Linked DNA regions of Caenorhabditis elegans. The protein of the gene in region 2 purifies or fractionates together with the protein of the main gene of each other region. This does not show direct contact. Each region holds a gene or a part of one and is shown on either strand. Other genes may lie near its edges.

What was found.
Region 1: the proteins of mtcu-1 (region 2) and Y51A2D.8 fractionate together in Caenorhabditis elegans (co-fractionation; one large-scale study listed by BioGRID). This does not show direct contact.

What each region holds. Positions count from the first base shown.
Region 1 is NC_003283.11:18,549,081-18,560,073, reverse strand, and holds Y51A2D.8 (Cysteine proteinase), read left to right. Parts: upstream 1-6,223; 5' UTR 6,224-6,227; coding exon 6,228-6,373; intron 6,374-6,774; coding exon 6,775-6,855; intron 6,856-7,213; coding exon 7,214-7,577; intron 7,578-8,621; coding exon 8,622-8,816; intron 8,817-8,943; coding exon 8,944-9,034; intron 9,035-9,738; coding exon 9,739-10,022; 3' UTR 10,023-10,071; downstream 10,072-10,993. Other genes in the region: ttr-26 (Transthyretin-like family protein), read left to right, coding at 887-1,014, 1,068-1,208; ttr-25 (TransThyretin-Related family domain), read right to left, coding at 2,052-2,189, 2,258-2,385, 3,127-3,286; ttr-24 (TransThyretin-Related family domain), read left to right, coding at 3,521-3,680, 4,268-4,395, 4,476-4,613.
Region 2 is NC_003279.8:14,770,518-14,781,510, reverse strand, and holds mtcu-1 (TrmE-type G domain-containing protein), read left to right. Parts: upstream 1-6,503; 5' UTR 6,504-6,514; coding exon 6,515-6,581; intron 6,582-6,780; coding exon 6,781-7,048; intron 7,049-7,573; coding exon 7,574-7,705; intron 7,706-8,755; coding exon 8,756-9,038; intron 9,039-10,192; coding exon 10,193-10,599; intron 10,600-10,645; coding exon 10,646-10,808; 3' UTR 10,809-10,822; downstream 10,823-10,993. Other genes in the region: sur-2 (Mediator of RNA polymerase II transcription subunit 23), read left to right, coding at 10-162, 211-825, 1,374-1,655, 2,142-2,606, 3,039-3,461, 4,109-4,234; F39B2.5 (SH2 domain-containing protein), read left to right, coding at 4,874-4,920, 4,973-5,097, 5,146-5,264, 5,969-6,256.

The DNA.
Region 1 (10,993 bases), on a different chromosome or scaffold from region 2:
TTTTTCGAAATTTTTTTTTCGGGAAAAAATTCGAAAACTTGAACTTTTCAGGCATTTTAATATACACCGTTGAATTTTTCATGAAATTTCCGTTGATTTGACACCCATATCGGCTATATTCGACACACCACGAATTTCAGGCCAGATTTAGGCCGTTTTAGGCCGAATAAGGCTCAATATTCAAAATGCTAAGAAGTAGTTGTCATAATTTTAAAACACTAAGAAAATCTGAACTGGTTTTAATTTTAAATATTTAAGGCCTGAAACGGCCTGAAACGGCCTGAAACGGCCTGAAACCGGCCTGAAATTCATACTTGCTCAATTATAGCCAATATGGGTTTTAAATTTTTGCAAATTTAGAGGTTAAGCTAATTTTTAACATCTTTTATGCTGGAAACAAGCGGTATTTGAAATTTGGCCCAAAAAAATTTTTAAAAAAAAGTGTTTTTCTTCAAATTTTCTATAAATTTGATGTTTTGCGTTGTTTTAGTTTTAAAAAAACCAATTTTTCCACTAAATTTCCGTTGTTTTAACACCCATATCGGCTACATTCGGGAGTGGTTAAGTTTCAGGCGGTTTCAGGCCCTTTTTTGGCCCGAAATCAAGTTTTACGAAGATTGAGCTCTAAATGTATACTGTTTATTAAAACTATGGGTCAAAAACAATTGTAAACAAAATCGTAAAAGCTTCGGCCTGAAATGGCCTGAAACGGCCTGAAACGGCCTGAGCCCGGCCTGAAATCCAAACTTCCTCAAATATAGCCATTATGGGTGTCAAAATTTTGCAAATTTTTAGGAGAATCCAAATTTTCCACTCAAAACTATCGTAGTCTAACAGATTTCAGAAAATCAAAAAATTTTCCAAAAAAAAAAAATTTTTTTTGCAGTTTACGATAGCAAAATGGGCAGTGTAAAGACTGGATCAGACGGAACATTCCGCGTATCCGGAGATCAAAATAAAATCCGAACAATCGACCCGAAAGTCAACATTTACCACAAGTGCAATTATAACGGGGTGAGTTTTTTATTTCAAAAAAAAAATTCGATTTCAAACTCAAATTTTTCCAGCTCTGCTCGAAAAAAGTGTCCATCAACATTCCAAAAAACGCTGTCGTCAGCGGAAGCGGACAAAATGCTAGAAATTATGACATTGGAACTATCAACTTGGCTAACAAGTTCTCTGGAGAATCTACTGATTGTATTCATTAAAAATTTGGCTTTAATATGTATAAAAAATGCAAACAAATTTGTATATTTTGAAAATTGTTTTATTTTGAACGGTTAGAATATTTTTTCCAAAACAAAAAAATTTTTTTCAAGTTTCAAATTTTTTAAATTTTGAGATTTCAAGCATTTTTGGAAAATTTTGTACATGGCAAGATTTTTCATATCATTTTCATGGATTTGACATTTACTTCGGCTACATTTCAAGAAACTGGGCTTGTCGAAATGATTTGGACCGATTCGGGCCGTTTCAGGCCGTTTCAGGCATGAATTTCCAGTTTTTCTGGAACTGCGTTCTTACTTTCAGGTTTTCCTCATTACTGCATAATTTCTACACTTACCTTGACCTAAATTCGTGGTGCTCATATTTCAAGTCTAGAACGGCCTGAAATGACCTGAAATAGGCCTGAAATTCAACATTTCATTGTTATGCAAGTTAAATCAAAAGCCTGAAAATTATCTTGAAGTTTTAAGTGAAGGAAATCTGTTTTTCAATAAATTTTGAGTTTCGGGCCAGTTTCAGGCCGTTTTGGGCCGTTTTTTGGCCCAAACGTCCAAATGTTCAGAGTATAATCAATATGGGTGTTAAAATTTTGCACATTTTATGGAGAACACGAATTTTACATTTTTATTGTTCAAAATGTCCCCTGGTGTCCCCGAATGTCCCATAGGTGTCCCATAAGTGTCCCTCTCGTGGTTTTAGGCTATATTTGTCGGAATTTGCTCATTTTTTTTACAGAAACACTTTAAAAAGTGTAATTAAACGTTTATTTTATGAAAAATTCCAATTAAAACATAAAAGTTATCAAAAAGTTCCAAAAAAAAAGTTTAATGAATGCAATCAGTACCCTCTCCTGGGTACTTATTGGCCAAATTCAGAACTCCAATGTCAAAAAGTTGAGCTTCTTTGGATCCTTTGCCAACTGCGTTCTTCGGAACATGAATGGTAACCCTTTTCGGGCAAAGCTGAAATTTTTGAGAATTTTTTCAGTAAAATTTTTGAAAAAAAGTCGAAATTTTTCGCTGAAACTCACTCCGACGTGGTTGCATCTGTGATAAATATTGATTTTTGGGTCGATCTTGCGAATTTTATTCTGGCCGCCGACTACTTTGAAGGTTCCGTCTGCCAATGTGTTTGTAACGTCCATCTTGGTGTCATAGACTGCAATTTGGGGCATTTTGCTTCCAAAAATGATCAGATCGCTAGGATTTTACAAAATTCAAACTCGTGGCGTCAATAGCTTCAATTTGACACCCATATTGTCTATATTCCGGCAATTTTGAAGATTTTGGTTAAACCGCGACGCGACCGCAACGCACGGTGATTTTTTGCTTCAAAATGTTGAATAAACTAATGTTTATTTGAGATTTCTAAGTTTGTATTAGTGATACTGAAATTTTTATGTCTTCAAACGTGCACAGTCCTCAGTGATACGCTTGTTTGCAAATTTGAGCGGCCGCGACGCGGCCGCGACGCATGGCTAAAATCAAATGTCTTTAAATATATACAATATGGGTGTTAAATGAGAGCTATAAACTACAAATTAAGGAAATACACGCGTTTGATTTCCAGAAACTGATTGTTTCGTTGCTACGACTGCTTCTGAACTTGAGCGACCGCGACGCGACCGCACCGCACTCAAAAAACTAAAGTTGTCTGATCATAGGCAAAATGGGGGTCAAACAAAAGCTAAGAACGTCAAAAATTCAAAAATCGTATTTTCAACCTTTAAAAGCGAACTATTCTAATGTTACGGTTAGAAACCGCGACGCGACCGCACCGCACTCAAAATACCAAAGTTGTCAGATTATAGGCAATATGGGGGTCAAATGAAAGCTAAGAACGTCAGAATTTCAAAAATACACAAATTAAAACATAAAACTGGAAAAAAAAATGGCTCACCAGTTCCATCCTCATACAGCTTGATCTTCACATCCTTCACAGCTTGGCCGTTGCAAGTGAGCTTACCAACTACAGTAACCGTCTGCTTTCTACCAACAATTCCGCCGAGCCCGTGAGCCACGGCTAAAGTCGCAAGGAAGAGCAGACAAAGTTTGAGCATCGTTTGAGCAGATTCTCAGGAAGTTTCCGTGAGTTTTGCTCCCGGTTTTTATGGGATTTTCGGGTGACAAACATGTTTTTCTGGTCCCCAGCGGCATGTTTACACTAAACAACAACTGTTCCGTTAGATAATCACCTAATCGCCGACTTTTATCCGTTTCTCATCTCGTCTGATTTCCCTGATTTCTTATCATTTTCCTGGATTTCTTATCGATTCCCGGTCGACTCCTGAGCAATGTTCAAAGAAATTCTGCTCATTTCCACTGTTTTTCTGCTCACTGATGCCTTGGGAGGTATTGTTGGGAGTAAACAGACGGTCACTGTGGTCGGCAAACTGGTCTGTAACGGAGCACCGGCTAGAGACGTCCGTGTGAAGCTTTTCGAGGATGGAACTAGTAAGTTGAAAGTTTCAAATTCGATTTTTTCAAGTTGAAAATGTCTCACCACGCTGTTAGCTTCAATTTGGCACTCATATTGCCTGTATTTGGACAATTTTTGGTTTTAGGGCACGGCGCGGTTGCGTCGCGGTTTCTAATAGTCACTATTTACCGTAAAATTAGAGCAGTTCGTTTTTAAGGATCAAAATTACGATTTTTGTATTTCTGACGTTCTTAGCTTTTATTTGACCCCCATAACGACTATATTCGGATAACTTTGGTTTTTTGAGTGCGGTGCGGTCGCGTCGCGTGTCAAATGCAAAAATTATTGTAAAGCTCCACAATGGCAAACATTTTTGAACAAAGACGTTGTATTAATCATAACTCAAAAACTTACCGCGTTGAAGCATGAAAAATGCAATTTCAATTTTCGCCGCGTTGCGGTCGCGTCGCGGTCACACACCCCAAAATTCAAATTTGTCCGAACATAGTCAATATGGGTGTCAAAATTCTTGTCTTGACCTGGAAAATCTGAATTTCCTAGTTTTAACAACAAAAATGTTAACTTTGAACATTTTATTTCACAAAAATACAATTTTCTGCAGTCTACGACACGAAAATGGACTCGGTGAAAACAATTGCTGATGGAACATTCAAGGTCTCGGGATCCCAGAATAAAATCCGCAAGATTGACCCGAAAATCAATATTTATCATAAATGCAACTATTCTGGAGTAGGTTTTTGGAGAAAAAAATTGAAAAAATTCGATTTTTTTCCTATTTAAAAAAAATTCAAAAATTTTGAAATTTTCAGCTCTGCCCAAAAAAAGTGACTATTCATGTTCCAAAAAATGCAGTTGGTAAAGGATCCAAAGAAGCTCAACTTTTCGACATCGGAACCCTCAATTTGGCTAACAGATACCCAGGAGAGGGCACTGATTGCATTCATTAAACTTTTTTTGTAATTTTTTGATAATTTTTATGTTTTAATTGGCATTTTTCATAAAATAAACGTTTAATTACAATTTTTAAAGTGTTTCTGTAAAAAAAATGAGCAAATTCTGACAAATATAGCCTAAAACCATGAGAGGGACACTTATGGGACACCTATGGGACATTCGGGGACACCAGGGGACATTTTAAACAATAAAAATGTAAAATTCGTGTTCTTCATAAAATTTGCAAAATTTTAACACCCATATTGATTATACTCTGAACATTTGGACGTTTTGGCCAAAAAACGGCCCAGAACGGCCTGAAACTGGCCCGAAACTCAAAATTTATTGAAAAATAGATTTTCTTCACCTAAAACTTCAAGATAATTTTCAGCCTTTTGATTTAACTTGCATAACAATGAAATGTTGAATTTCAGGCCAATTTCAGGCCATTTCAGGCCGTTCTAGACTTGAAATATGAGCACCACGAATTTAGGTCAAGGTAAGTGTAGAAATTTTGCAGTAATAAGAAAAACCTAAAAGTGAAAACGCAGTTCCAGAAAATCTAGAAATTCAGGCCTGAAACGGCCTGAAACGGCCCGAATCGGTCCAAATCATTTCGACAAGCCCAGTTTCTTGAAATATAGCCGATGTAAATGTCAAATCCATAAAAATGATATAAAAAATATTGCCATGTACATTAAAAAAAAAATTTTTTTTGGAAAAATATTTGAACCGTTCAAAATTAAACCATTTTTCATGTTTTAATTTGCAATATAAACGCTTAACTACATCTATGCAAGTGTTTCTGTAAAAAAAGAGCAACTTCTGACAAATATAGCCTGAAAACCACGAGTGGGACACTTATGGGACACCTATGGGACATTCGGGGACACCCGGTAAAATTTTGAGAAATATGAACTCAAAATTCGTGTTCTTCATGAAATTTGCCTAGTTTTGAAACCCATATTGGCTATGTTCTACAAACTTTGAAATTTTGGGCAAAAAACGGCCCGGAGCCTGAAAATGGCCTGAAATACAAAACTTTCCTTTAAATAACTTTTATTTCACAGTTTCAAATTTTTCAAAAACGTTTGCTGAAATTATCGACATATACCCGTCAATATTTGTTTTCAAGCCTAGAACGGCCTGAACTGTCCTAAAACTGGTCTGAAATTCAATTTTCCGCAAACATAACCAATTTAGTAGTTCCTTATACAAGTTGGCAAATTACTACAAACGCACTGGCATTAAACTGAGTGTATTGATATTTGGGCTCCAAAAAGCCCGAAACGGCCTAAAACTGGTCTGAAATTCAAATTTCCTCGAATATAGCCAATATGGGGGTCAAATAAACGGAAATTTTATGAAGATTCCAAATTTTCATGTAACAAGGCTTGAAAAAAATCAAAATTTTCAATAACTTGCTCATAAATTAATTTTTCAACCCCCTGTCAACACCAAAAATCTATAAAAGAACCCCAACAAATTCGATGTCGAAATGTGCAGAATCACCCCGATCTTTCCAACTTTTTCCCCCGAAAAAGTGGAAAATTTTACGATTTCGGCCATAAAACTCGGAAGCTTAAAAGCCAACCGTAGCCCGAGGCAATCAAAATTTCGCCGCGAAAATGCAAGTTTTCGTGATTTTCCTGGTGGTTCTACCCATTTCAGGGGTAGTTTCCATCAATATTACAGAACCCGAATTTTTTGAAATTAATATCGATCGGGACCATCCGGAGAAGCTCTACAAGGCTTTTGAGGATTTTAAAAAAAAGTGAGTTTTTTTAATAACGAAAACTTGGCCCAAACTTCAAAATTTTGAAAAATCAATTAAAAATTCGGATTCCCCATAGCAAATAACCCCTACGCCTGAGTTTTCAGAATTTTAGTGCAAAATCCCGTCAAATCGGGTGCCGGGTACGCAAACACCAGGCTACAGTAACCCAAAACACCGGATTTGACGACATTTCGCACGAAATTGTTGAAAAATAGGGTGCAGGGGTAATTTTGGGTGGAGAATTCGAATTTTTACATAATTTTTCAAAAAAAAAATGGTTTTGAAGTGTTGAAATTTCGATTTTCAGAAATAATTGAACATTTCTATTAAAATTTTTCAGAAATCTTATTGTTGCCGTTTTAAGCCACTTTTGAGAAAAAAAACATAATTTTTCACAGGTACAACCGAAAATACAAGGACGAGTCGGAGAATCAGCAGAGATTCAATAATTTCGTAAAATCCTACAACAATGTCGATAAGTAAGTGAAAAAAAACATGGCCCAAACTTCAGAATTTTCAAATTTCGAGTCGAAATTCGGATTCTACGTAGCAAATAACCACTAACCCCGTTTTTCAAAAATTTAGCGCAAAATTCCGTCAAATTGGGTGTAAGGTCCACAAACACTAGGCTACAGTAACCAAAAACACCAGATTTGACGCAAAATTGCACTAAAGCGTTGAAAATTTCGGGACAGGGGTAATTTGAGGCGTAGATTTCGAATTTCATAATGAAAATGTTTTAAATTTGAGTTTAAAAATGAAATTTTTGAATAAAAAATTTCGAAAAAAAATTTCAAAAAAATTTTTTTTTTTCGGTTTTTTTTCAATTTTTTTCAGATTAAACGCAAAGTCAAAAGCAGCCGGATATGACACCCAATTTGGCATTAACAAGTTTTCTGACCTATCCACCGCCGAATTCCACGGCCGTTTGTCCAATGTAGTGCCCAGCAACAATACAGGGCTCCCAATGCTCAACTTCGACAAGAAAAAACCGGATTTTCGCGCGGCCGACATGAATAAAACACGCCATAAGCGTAGATCAACACGCTATCCAGACTATTTCGACTTGAGAAACGAGAAAATCAACGGGCGATACATTGTGGGCCCGATCAAGGATCAGGGGCAATGTGCGTGTTGCTGGGGATTCGCGGTCACCGCACTGGTGGAGACTGTGTATGCAGCACATTCTGGAAAGTTTAAGGTAAAAATAAAACAATTATTTGAAAAATTTGAATGAAAACTGTGAAAGTTCGAGGAAAATCGGTGAAAAATTGGCGTGAAAACTCGAATTTTTCGATTTTTTTTTGAAAACAGAAAACATTGCCGTTGGAGCGCATTTACACCCTCTAGCCTGAAATTTAATTCTATTTTTCTGTAAATATATCGTAGATCACATTTTTTGCTATGTTTTCCATTTTGAAAAATGGCAAAGTTACGTTAGTTTCAAGTGTTTAAAGCGAAGTTGAACGAATTTTCAGTAGGTTCTCAGCGGAGTGCGTTTACTGCTTTTACACTAAATTTTATTAGACTTTGACTATTTTAATATTAAACTTTGCAAAAATTGGTATTGTACACGTTTTTTAAATTTGGAAAATCTTGAAAATTGGCCAAATTACGGATGTTTCAAATTTTCTAGTCAAAATACACAGAGTTTTGAGGAGTTCTCATTGGAGCGCATTTACAACCCCTAAACTAACTTTTCTCTTATTTTTTTGTGCATAGTTAATGTAGATCACATGTTTCTCTACTAGTTTCTTTTGGAAAAATAAGAAAATCTTGAAAACTGGCCAAGATACGATTTTTCACAAATTTGGGTCAAAAAATGAGAAATTTTGAAATATTCTTATTGAAACGCATTGGCAAGCCCAAAACTAATTTTTTTTTTCAAATTTTCAATGTATTTAGTGTAGATCACATGTTATTTCACTAGTTTCTTTTTTAAAAATAAGAAAATCTTGAAAATTGACCTATTTACGGATGTTTCAAATTTTCTAGTCAAAATCAACAGAATTTGTAAGAATTCTCATTGGAGCGCATTTACAACCTCAAAACTGACATTTTTTCATGATTGACTACTACAAATATAGCAGATCATATAATTAGGCGCAATTTTCAGTTTGAAACTAAAAAAAATCTTAAAAATTGGCAAAGTTACGGTAGTTTCAAATTTTTCAGTTAAACTTGGCAGAATTTCAGAATTTCACTGAATTTTTGAATTTCTATGTAAATTTTTGAATATTTTCAGTCCCTATCTGACCAAGAGGTTTGTGATTGCGGTACGGAAGGAACACCGGGATGTAAGGGAGGAAGCTTGACCCTCGGAGTCCAGTACGTCAAGAAATATGGGCTTTCTGGAGATGAAGACTATCCTTACGATCAAAATCGGGCTAACCAGGGCAGAAGATGTCGTTTAAGAGAAACTGACAGAATTGTGCCGGCTGTGAGTTGGAAATTTGAAAATTTGAAAAAATTCCAAAAAAAAAAATTTTTTTTTCAAAAATTTTTTTTTCAAAATTTTTACTTTTTTTAGAATCAAATTTTTTAATTTTCTACCAAATTTTGTTCAGAGAGCCTTCAACTTTGCCGTAATCAACCCACGCCGAGCCGAAGAACAAATCATCCAGGTGCTCACCGAGTGGAAGGTCCCAGTAGCTGTCTGTAAGTCGGCGGGACCAACTGGGGGACATGGGACATCCGGGAGTTTTGAAATTATTAAATTCAAAATCTCCTAAAAATTTGCAAAGTTTTGACATCCATATTGGCTATATTTGGAGAAATTTGAAATTTGGGCCTGAAACGGCCTAAAATTGGCCTAAAATCGGCCTGAAACTCAAAATTTTCAGTCTATAGCCCATGTTAGTGTACCAAAAAAAAATTTCAATTAAAAGCCAAGTATTTTGGCTATATTTCAGTAAATTATATTTTAAGACCTGTTTCAGGCCTATTTCGGCCTGAAATCGGCTCAATACTCAAAATTCTTTTGTTTTGGTGTCACAATTTTACCATTCAATTGAAAACTTGAAAATATTTGGAACATTTCATTTCAAGGCCAATTTTACCCTAAACCGGCCTAAAACCGGCCCGAAACTCGAAATTTGCCGATCGAAATCGATGTCGGTGCCAAAATTTTGAAAATTAAATAACCAACTCAAAAGTTTTGCTGAATATGAAGTACTTTCTTTTCAGGCCTGTTTTGGCCTAGAATCGGCCTGAAATTGGCCCAAAACCCAAACTTATCGAAATATAGTCGATATGGGTGTTAAAATTTTGCAAATTTAACGTGTAATTCAAAAATCTAGCTGAAAACCTGCAGAAACTCCAAGTTTTTCGAAAAAACTCGAAATTAAAAAAAAAAATTCCAGATTTCAAAGTCGGCGATCAATTCAAAGAATATAAAGAAGGAGTGATCATTGAGGACGATTGTAGAAGAGCTACTCAATGGCATGCCGGAGCAATTGTGGGTTACGATACCGTTGAGGATAGCCGTGGAAGAAGTCACGACTACTGGATTATCAAGAACTCCTGGGGAGGCGATTGGGCTGAGTCGGGATATGTTCGAGTGGTCAGGGGTAGGGATTGGTGCTCAATTGAGGATCAACCAATGACTGGAGACATCAAAGATCATAAAGATAACTATTACTATTAATTTATTTTTCTCACTTCTTTTTGTTAAAAAAATGAAAAATAATTATTTTTTTCGAAAATTTGTTTCTTCAAATTTCACAAAAACTCTTCAATTTTAAGCTGTTTTACTTAAAAAATTGAATTCTACGCAAAAAATGTGTTGATTTAACACCCATATCGACTATATTCGAAAAACTTGAACTTCAGGCCGTTTCAGGCCATTTCAGGCCATTTCAGGCCCAAAATTTCAAAAAGTTGCTTTGTGCCTTGCTTTTACCAGCAGTTGGTGATCTTCAACGTGGAATCCGATTGAGGAGGCAATTTTGGGAAATAATCAGCTTATTGGCTGAAATTTCTAAAATTTAAACCGAAAACTTGGCCCAAATCTGGGAATTTCGAAAAATTAAGCTCAAATTCGAACTCCGCGTGGTAAATTACCCCCTACCCACAATTTTCAGAATTTTTGTGCAAAATCCCGTCAAATCTGGTGCCAAGTTCGCAAACACCACGCTACAGTAACCCAAAACACCCGATTTGACGACATTTTGCACTAGAGCTCTGAAAATCCGGGTTCAGGGGTAGTTTTTGATGGAGAATTCGAATTTCGACTTGAAAATCTGGAATTTTAAGTTTGAAAGTACTGAAATTTCGGGTTTCGACAATCTGGAACAAAAACTTGGCCCAAACTGGAAAATTTTGCAAACCTGAGCTCAAATTCCGATTCCCCGCGCTAAATAACTCCTAACCCCCGATTTTCAGAATTTTTGGCCAAAATCCCGTCAAATTTGGAGCCAAGTTCGCAAACACCACGCTACAGTAACCCAAAACACCCGATTTGACGACATTTTGCACTAAAATTCTGAAAATTGCGTGCTAGAAGTGATTTTTCGCGTAGAATCTGATTTTGAAGTCAGATTTTCAAAATTTTGAAGTTTGGACCGAGATTTTAGGAAAAATTTAATTTTTTTTTAAAGATTAAGTTTATAAAAACAA
Region 2 (10,993 bases):
AGTTTTCAGATAGCAAAAGCCGCTGCCCTCTTGGTATTCCAGTTCCAAGTTCTGCGTGCTGACCGACTTCTACTCTCACTAATAATGCATCCAGCTACAGATGAGGATGCGTTGATATGTATTCAAATCGCAAATGAATTCATTTTAACACCAGAATTTCAGGTTAGATAAATAATATTGCGTCTTAAGATAATAATCGTCATTATTCAGGAACGAATCCGCTGGTATCATCAAAATGTTCCGAAAAAGGACCACTTTCCAACTGAATACATCAAAGCAATCGTGAAATATCACGACGCATTCCCGGAATTTGAAGCTTGCGAACTTGTACGATCATATGATTCATCGTCGAATGTTCATATGCCTACGTACTATGGTTGTCTTATTGAACGACTTCTTCCGATTATGGATCAATATCTACATGTAGCATTGGAACAACAAGGATATAAGCTTAATCCTCAGATACTTCAATCTGTGTCAATGCTCTACAAGTTCCATGCAATGCCGATTCATTTCATGTATTCCGTACTTTTCACTTCTCATGGACTCATGTCGGGTCCTGACGCGAAATCCTTTGTTCTTGCATTCGCTACACAGATTGAAGAGTGCCATTTGACGGAAGCTTTCGAGAAATTCAATCATCAGAAATCGTCTCGTGAACAACTAATAATGGAGTTGATTGATCGAATGTCGGCTAGCTTGGACTTTATTCTAACACCTCCACCATTCGTGGCTAAGGACTGGAAAATTGCGGAACTGAGTCCAGGAGCACAGACTCTTTATTTGGCTTGTATTGAGCTAATGGCGAGCCCACATTCACCGGAGGTATGTGTTTAGCTCATGTAAAAATCGGTTTTTTTACAGATTTTTTATTCAGAAAAAATCGAAAAAGTATTTTTACATGAAAGTCGGAAACCAATTTTTTCTTTTAAAAAATTATGAAAACATGAAAAATATAACTAAAAATTGTTCAATCAAATTACGAAAAATGGAATTAAATTTCAAATTGAATTTTCTGCGATCCCAAGCAAAGGTGGATTTTCGAATTTTTCGATGTTTGCAGAGATAATCGGAAAACCTAAAATTTTCTATTTTCCGGAAAATCGAAAATTCGGAAAAAAAATTCCGAAAATTAACCATAAAATATGATTTTTATCTAATTTTGTAAAGTTTCTTCTACAAGAAGAAAAAATACCAACATATTAAGCAAAGTTTTAAAAAATAGAAAAACAAAAATTTTTAGTTTTTTTTATTTTCAAAAAATCGAAAAACCGACACCCGTGATGTTAATTTTTTGTTGCAATTTTTAAAATTTCAGAAATTCTCAAATCTGAAAATGTTACTTCTGTACAATTCAAACTCTGATTTTCCAGACCCTCGTCGCCGCAATGATCAACGTAATGCAAATGAAACCACACGCTCGTCCATTCAATATTGTTAATCTGACAGCACTTCTTCTCACTGCTCTACCCGCAGCATATTCAAATGCATTACACGATGAATTTGTAGCAGTTTTTGTGAACGGAGAAACTGCCAATTTAAAGTTCGAGGAAATTGTATTCGACAACTATGAGGAGAGCCTATTGTTGAATTTGCCCAATCGAGCACGTACAATTAATGTGATATCGCAACAATATTGGTTGCATTGTAGTTTGGTAAGAAATTTGAAAAAAGGATATTTCAAATGGATTTATACAGAAATTCAGAGACAGATGAGCATTTTGAACAGGAAAAAAGTTGATCTGAAATTGCATGTAAAAATTTAATTTTTTTTTTTCGAAAAAAAATCTGTAATTTTTGGACCGAAATTTTTAAATCAAAAATAGTTTTTTCGAAACTTTTTCTAAGATTTTAGAAAACTTGCGAGTGTCTGAATTGGTCATTTTTCATATTATGAAACTCAATTTCAACGTACTTCGGGGTTTTCTGTCTAAAGGAAATTATCCAAAATAGTTTATTTTTGTAAATTCTACAAAAAAAACGAAAATATTATTGTAACAATTTTTTTTCGAAAAAAAAAACAAACTGAAAACTGGGCTTTTTTCGGAAAAATTTGGAAAAAAACAATTTTTCTGAAAAAAGGTATATTTTCCGAACTCTGCCACGCACGTAACAAAACACTGATTTTTTAAAAATTTCAGTCTCTTCTCAATTTCTTCTCCCACGAATACGTCCCTCGAATTCTGGAGCACGTAAAAACTGAGAAGGACCTCTGGTACACACTTCGCCTCGTCATGCCATACCTCCGTCGCTACTATGAAAATTGGGACACTGCCAAGCAAATGAGATCACAACGCGAAAATTTCGGACCTCTTCACATTGTGAAGCTTGTCTTCCAAAAGTTGGGATCAATGGCCGAAGAAGGTGTTGAAATTGTGTACGAGCAGCACCTGTGTGATTTGTTCTACAATTGCAAATATTTCTTCGCCGGAGACTTTTTGAGGAATACGGCGATCACTGAATTCGCAAAGCTTCCCGAAAAAATGAGAGATCGTCTCAAGTTCTATGTGTCTCAATCAGAACCAACTGCAGAGCAGGAAACACCACCGGAAAAGGAAAAATCACCGGAAAAAGAGAAGGAGCAGGAACAAGAGCAACATGTCAAAGTAATACTCGTTTTAATTCTGTCATTTTTTTTTTCTGAAAGTTTACAGTTTTTTTAGTCTTGAAGCAAGACCATAACTATTAGTAGTGATTTCAAGTGTATTTAAAATCGAGTGTAACCAGGTAATTTCTAATAATGAATTTATCAATAAGTATTGATGTAGTTATTATGGAAAAAATGTATCACAAGAAAATAATAACTATTGAGCAAAATTTTCAAAATTGGCTACCGGATAACTTCAAATTAGCCGTACTGCCAAAAAGTCGGCTAATTCGGTTAATTGGTAAAAAACCGCGGCTAACGGATAAATCACCTAATATTAGCCGAATCAGCCATTCCGCGAATTCGGCTAAATCGGCTAATATCCGCACACTTCTGGTCAATACACTCGATTTTGGGTCAAAAATCACTATTTCTCAAATCAAATTTCTAGGCTCACCAACCTCTCGAATCAACACCTTCCGTTTCCTCACTACCGCAAATGCAACATCATCTACAACAAGCACCACTACTACCATCACATCAAATGATGCCTCCACCACAACAACATTCATCCTCACTTCAACATCATCTACAACATCATACATCTACACATCAAATGATGGATACATCACAACATCAGACAATTCAACAACAATCAAATCATCCTACTCAACAACAACTTCAACATCAAATTCCGAATATGTCGATGCATCAACAAATGGGACCTCAATATCCTGGTGCAGTTTTTCATCATCCATCTGGACCTGTGGGACATGTCCCAATGCAATATGGAATGGGACATCATATGCAACAGCACCCACATCTTCCACATCATCAGCAAATGCCGGCACCTATGCATACAATGAATCCTATGGTAAACATTTGGAAAATTTCGAAAAAAATAATTTTTAAAATCACTTGATAGATTCAAAATTTTTTCGAAAATTCCAAAAATAAAAAAAAGGTTCTAAACATTCCCAAAAGTTTTGAGAACTTCAAAATTTTCGAAATTTCCAACAAAAACAAATTGAAAGTTTTCTCCAACTTTTAGAAATTCCCAAAAAAAAATTCCAATCTTACAGAACATCTGAAAAATCTGAAATTCCATAAGCTTTAAAAAACCAAATTTTCAAAAGTTTCGGTAAATTTCTTTTTCTACCCCGCATTTTTAAAAGAATATTCAATAAAATTGAATTTTTCGAATTTAAATCGATTTTTTCCAAAAAAAAAATCAAAGAATTCCAAAAAAAAATCCAAAATTTCCTGAAAATTAAAAAAAGGTTTTCAATTTTGTCCGAAAAAAAATCAAAGAATTCCAAAAAAAATTCCAAAATTTCCTAAACATTAAAAAAAAATGGTTTTCAATTTTTTTTCCGAAAAAAAATCAAAGAATTCCAAAAAAAAAGCTAAATTTCCTAAAACTTCAAAAAAGGGGTTTCGATGTATTTTGCAAAAATAAAACACAATTTCCGAAAAAAAAATTTTTTCCAAAAATCCTCGAATTCCAAAAAAAATTTCCAGATGCAAAACATGACTCCTCAACAGCAATATCTCTACATGCAACAACTTCAACAACATCAGCAACATCAACAGTACATGCAACAGCAACAACAGCATCACCATCAACACCAACAGCAACCTCATTAATTTTTTTTCATAATTTACCTAGTTTTTTACAATTTACCATCATATATTTGAAAAATCTCACTGATTACGGTTATGTACATATATTTATTATTGTTTATAGTTTTTTACTTCAAAATTTTCATAAAATTTTATTTTTCTTATTCTTTTTCAATCTTTTTTTCAATTTAAAGATTAAAAATCTTTCAATATCTCGACCCCTAACACTGTACAATGTCGATTTACGCAGCTCGTGTACTCCCCGAGGATAAGTGAAAAATCAATGGTTTTGGTCAAAATTGCATGTTTTGCTTAAATTTTGGATTTTGGCTTCTTTTTTAAATTCAAACAAATTTGTCGATTGGCCGATATGCCGGAATCTTTCAATTACGGCAATTTGCCGATTTGCCGGGAATTTCCATTTTCATGCAAAATAATTGCTGATTTAATAATATATGGCGCCCACGCCTGGAAACAGCGACGGTTTTTTGAAAAAGAGATATAATTGCGATTTGAACATTAAATTCGGAAAGAATCGGATCATAATCTTCTCCTCGTGGAGTACACGACTTCCGTAAATCGACAATCTTCAATTTTAAAATTCAATTAATTTTGTTAAGATTGAAACTATTTTCAGTAACAAAAGTTTCCTTCAATGCTCCTATGCCCTCCAACAAGGTGATTTGTTCTGATCTTTACGATTGTGATTGGTAAACAATAAAATAACTGAAAAAAGATTTAAATATGCCTATTTTATTCCAGGTATTGGGGAGATTTGGACTGGAAATGGGCAGAACGGCTGCTCCTTTTGTGCCCAATCGGATATTTTTTAATTCGAGACAGTCGAAGTGAAACTCATCTTTTCACTGTTTCTTATCATTTTCAAGGTATTGTTTTTCAAAAAATCAATTTTTTCCAAATAAATATAATTTCAGATAGAGTCTATCATTCGCGCTTGTCACTTGAAGATTCACGACGGAATTTGGGTAGTCGGCAGCCATACGTCTCACGTGACTATTGGAATCTTGTGGAAATTATTGAGAGAAGTTTAGAGGTATGTAGTACATTTAAAAATATCTATGATTTTTGATTTTAAAAAAATCGGAAAAGAGTAAAACTTTAAAAAAAAATTGTGACAGGCCAAAAAGGTCGAAAATATTTTTCGAAGAGTTAAAAAAAATCGAAATTTTCCCAAAATGTTTCCGGAAATCGAAAATATATTTTTTTAAAAGCAAATTATTTTTCCGAAAAACGGAAAAAAACTATTTTTTTTAAGTGAAAATAATTATTTTTCTTTTTAAAAAATTCGAAAACTAAAAAAATTCAAATTTTCCGAAAGTATGTCCTTTTTTTCTCAAAATTAGAAATTAAAAAAGAGTATTAATCAAAAAAAAATTTTTCGGAACATAATTTTAAAAATTAAAATTGAAAAACAAATCAAACACAATACAACCATTTTTTTTCATAAAATCGAGAAAAAATCCTTTTTTTTTCGAAAAACCAAAAAAAAATCACGAGAAAAATAATCGATTGTTCTAAAAAAAATTCACTTTTTTGCAGAAAAAAATTAAAAAATCACCATTTTTGTTCACAAAAAAAACCACATTCCCGAAAGAAAATAGTTCAGTTTTTTCAGAAATTAGTTTTTTTTTCAAAAATCCGAAAAAAACTGAGTTTTTCAAGCAAAAAAATAATTTAATGTTTCAAAAATCAAAAAAAATCGTAGTTTTTCGGAAAAAAACACTAAACTTTTTTCAGCAATCCCTAACAGGACAACAAGAAATGCTCCACTATCGACGTGGACATGAAGCCGAAGCAGCGCGTGTCAATTTAACACGTCCACTCACAAAACGAGAGCTTCTACCATCACTACAGTACCTCTGTCGATTTACCCTGAAAACGAGTCAACAAAAACCACCGACACCCAAAACAGCTCCTCTGCCACCAACGATTTTAAAGTATTTGAGTGATTCGAAATGGATTATTCCTGATTTGAAGAAATGTGAAGAGCAATTGAAATTAAGATTTTGTGTAATTAATAATTAATTGTTTTAGTTTTGAATTATATCGAATTACGGGGTTTTTTTTGAATGCTTAATAAATAACTTTTTTCTCTCAAATTTAAGTTATATATTCATAAAATCTCGGTTTCTTTCCAGAAAAATTGTCACGGATCCTGTTTTTTATTAAATTTTCAAACATTTTTTTAAGATCGTGAAAATTTTGAAATTAAAAAAAAGAACCTTTCGAGTAATCAAATTTTTTTTTAATTGGAAAAGAATAATTTTTTCAGGCATTTAGAAAATGTCGACAATCTTCGCCCTATCGTCTGGCACATTGCCAAGCGCAATTGCGATGTTCCGCGTTTCAGGTTAATTTTCAGAACAATTGAAAAAAAAAATTCCATTAGGTTACGAATGGTTCATTTTGAAAAAATTTCTGCCAAAATAGCCATAAACAATATAAAAATCTCTGAAAAAATTCGTACGATGCTCTTGCGAAACCCCCCCCCCCCCCAAAAAAAGGCTTTCTGAGCTTACTGTTCACAGTATTCACAGTATTTTTTCCAGGATCACAAAGCCTCCCCGTACTCCGCCAGCTGAGCCGTCGAAAAGTTTGGAAGCCGAAAACGATGAAATACACGAAATTGTACGATTCAGAGAGCAAAATCATCGATGAAGCAATGGCGGTATATCTTCCCGGCCCGAAAACGTTTACCGGAGAAGACACAGCCGAGTTTTTTCTACATGGAAGTCAGGCCGTGGCCGTGAAGTTTGCCTCATGTTTGGCTGGAATTCAAAATGTTCGAGAAGCGAAGCGAGGAGAATTCACGAGGAGGTTATTATTAGCATACGATTTTCAAAAATCGGGGTTCAAACCAGGGATGGGCAGCAATTGCCGTTCGGCAAATTTTTTTCGACAAATTCGGCGATTCCGGCAATTTGCCGATTTGCCGGAAATTTCAATTCCGACAATTTGCTGATTTGCCGATTTGCCAATTTGCCGGAAAAATTGTTTGCCGTCCACCCCTGGTTAAAACGCGCTCCACGGCTAAAAGTTGGGTCTCGCTAGGTTTTGGCTGCTGCAAAACCGTAATTTCGAACGTTTTCAATAAGTTTTCGTTATTTTTGTTATGTTTCCTGTCGTTTATTAATTAATTTTATGTTGAAAAAATGTCCAAAAGTGCTTTAATTTTTCATTTAACCATGAAAACAAAATAACATTAGAGTTTTTGGTTTTGCCGCCGAATAAAAATTCCAAACTTTCCGCAGTTGAGCGCGCTTGCACATCTGTTTCAAAATATTTTGAATGCATTTAAATGCACATTTTGGGTCTCTATAATAACTCTTAGTTAATTTACAGAGCATTTCACAACGGAAAATTGAGCATTTCCGAGGTTCGAGGAATCGATCGGCTAATTAAATCTCGAACCGAAAAAGAACGAAATGCGGCATTTGGTCAAATGCGTGGTGGAGTTCGAGCTATTGAAATAAGGTATTGAAGTGAGAAAAATTGGAATTTTATATTGTTCGCAAGCAATTTGAAAAAACAAAAAAATCCCTCGAGATTTGGAATTTTTGGAAAAAAAAACTTAAAAAAAAAAGGAAAAAAAAAGATTTATAGGGATTTTTAAAAATTTCATTAAAACTTATGATATCGTACGAGCTTTTCAATAATACATTTTTTCAAATTGCCGGAATAGAAATGTCCGGCAAATCGACAATTTGTCGGTATTGAAAACTTCCGGCGAATCAGAAAATTGCTGGAATTGAAATTTCCGGCAAATCGGCAAATTGCTGGAATTGAAATTTCCGGCAAATCGGCAAATTGCTGGAATTGAAATTTCCGGCAAATCGGCAAATTGCTGGAATTGAAATTTCCGGCAAATCGGCAAATTGCTGGAATTGAAATTTCCGGCAAATCGGCAAATTGCTGGAATTGAAATTTCCGGCAAATCGGCAAATTGCTGGAATTGAAATTTCCGGCAAATCGGCAAATTGCTGGAATTGAAATTTCCGACAAATCGGCAAATTGCTGGAATTGAAATTTCCGGCAAATCGGCAAATTGCTGGAATTGAAATTTCCGGCAAATCGGCAAATTGCTGGAATTGAAATTTCCGGCAAATCGGCAAATTGCTGGAATTGAAATTTCCGGCAAATCGGCAAATTGCTGGAATTGAAATTTCCGGCAAATCGGCAAATTGCTGGAATTGAAATTTCCGGCAAATCGGCAAATTGCTGGAATTGAAATTTCCGGCAAATCGGCAAATTGCTGGAATTGAAATTTCCGGCAAATCGGCAAATTGCTGGAATTGAAATTTCCGGCAAATCGACAAATTTCTGGAATGGAAATTTCCGGGAAATCGGCAACTTGCCGGAATTGAAATTACCGATAAATCGACAATTTGCCGGAATTGGAAATTTCCGGCAAATCGGAAAATTGCCGGAATTGAAATTTTCGGCAAACCGGCAATTTGCCAATTTGCTGAATTTGTCGACAAAAACTTCGTGCCGCATACCCCTGACATTTACTCTCAATTTCAGGAAGCAATTAATTCAAATTCTATCGAAACTATTTGTGATCATTGATTTTGGAGAACACGTGAACTTGGAATTACGCGAAGCTCAACAAGATGTCTCTGAAATTCTTCATGAACTCAATCGAATGATCAAAGCGTGGGATGGTGCAGAACGGGCTCAACGTGGATTGGATATTGTGCTCTATGGAAGACCGAATTCCGGAAAATCAAGCATTTTAAATCAGTTAGCGCATGATGACGTGGCAATTGTTAGCTCGATTCCTGGAACCACGAGAGATAGTTTGGAAGTAAAAATGATCATATAAACCTATTGAAGTGTTAAAATTTTTCAAATTTTTCAAAAATTAACCAAAAAATTTCAATCAAATTTTCTTTTGCGATTTTTTTTTCTGAAACTAAAATCAGTTTTTCCAAAACTACAGTAATCCTACAGTATTCCCTACAATACTACTACAGTACTCCAATCATATCCCCCTATTAACACCAAACTAATAACCCTTCAAAATACGAAAAACCAGTTTTTCTCCAACTACAGTAACCCTACAGTAATCCTACAGTATTCCCTACAGTACTACTACAGTACCCTAGCCACGTTCCCTTGAACAATCAATTTTGAAACTCCTCTAAAACACACAATTTTGAAATTTAAAAAGTGGCAAAAATTCCAATTTTTTGTAAAAATTCACAATTTTGAAACTCTTCTAAAATGGGCAATTTTGTAGCTAGAGGACTCAAAATTGATCTGCAAACATTAAAAAAATTTTCCTTTTTAAGAATATAATAGTTTTGAACATTTTTAGGGAAATTATTTTTTTGCCCAAAATAAAAAAAGGATAGTCATTAGATGGCTGAAAATAGTTTGGGCAAAAATAAAAAGTTGTCTAAATTTGTTGAAAACGGGTAATTTATGTATGTTGAATTCAGAAAATCTAGGTTTAACCCGTCAAAAACTTTTAAAAAGTGGCAAAAATGGCAGATTTATGGCAAAAATTCACAATTTTGAATCTTCTCTAAAATGGGCAATTTTGTAGCTAGAGGACTCAAAATTGATTTAGGATTATAAAAAAATTGACCTTTTTCAGAATATAGTAGTTTTAAACATTTTCAGAAAAATTATTTTTTTGCCCAAAATAAAAAAAAAGGACAGTCATTAGATGGCTGAAAATAATTTGGGCAAAAATAAAAAGTTGTCTAAATTTGTTGAAAACGGGTAATTTATGTATGTTGAATTCAGAAAATCTAGGTTTAACCCGTCAAAAACTATTAAAAAGTGGCAAAAATGGCCAATTTATAGCAAAAATTCACAATTTTGAATCTTCTCTAAAACGGGCAATTTTGTAGCTCAAAAGACGAAAAGTCAATTTTTCGAAAACTACGGTAATCCTACAGTACTCCTAGAGTGCCTGGAAAATGTTCCAAACATTAATTGAAAATCTTACAGACAATCATTCAAATTAACGGAGTTCGATGCCGTCTCACAGACACTGCTGGAGTTCGACAAAAAACTAATGACGTCATTGAGGCAGAAGGTATTCGACGTGCTCAAAAACGAATCCAATCAGCTGACATTATCTGCGTTGTCGTGGATCCACAATTCACGTCGGATGACGATGTTGAATCGATTTTGAATGACGTGGAAGTGATGCGAAATCGCGAAGCTCGTGTGATTATTGCAAAGAATAAGTCTGATCTGAGTCTGAAGTATCCAAAACTTCCCTCAAATTTCACTACTGTATCTACAAATGCTACCACAGATACTGGCTGCAAACAACTTCAAAACTGTTTGGGAGAAATTGTAGATGATCTGTGTCCTGAAGCAAGTTATTTACTAGATGCAGATCTGTTAAGGTTTTTTTTTGTCAAAAAATAATATTCAAAGTTGTTTTAATTTCAGAAGATGCTCATTCGAATTGGAGTCAGCTGTAACGTGTAACGACGCAGCAATCATGTGTTCACATCTGGAAGTTGCCTTGGAACAAATCGGAGAGCTCACCGAGGGAATTGTCACTGAAAGTGTTCTAGATGGAATTTTTAGCAAATTTTGTATCGGAAAATAAAAGCTTTGACCATTTTTGGCACTTTTAAATAGTTTTTTTTTGGGTTAAACCTAGATTTTCTGAATTCAGCGTGTATGAATTACCCGTTTTCACCTTTTGATTTTTGCCCAATTTTTTTTCAGCCATCTAATGACTGTCCTTTTTTTATTTTGGGCAAAAAAAAAAGTTTTCTGAAAATGTTCAAA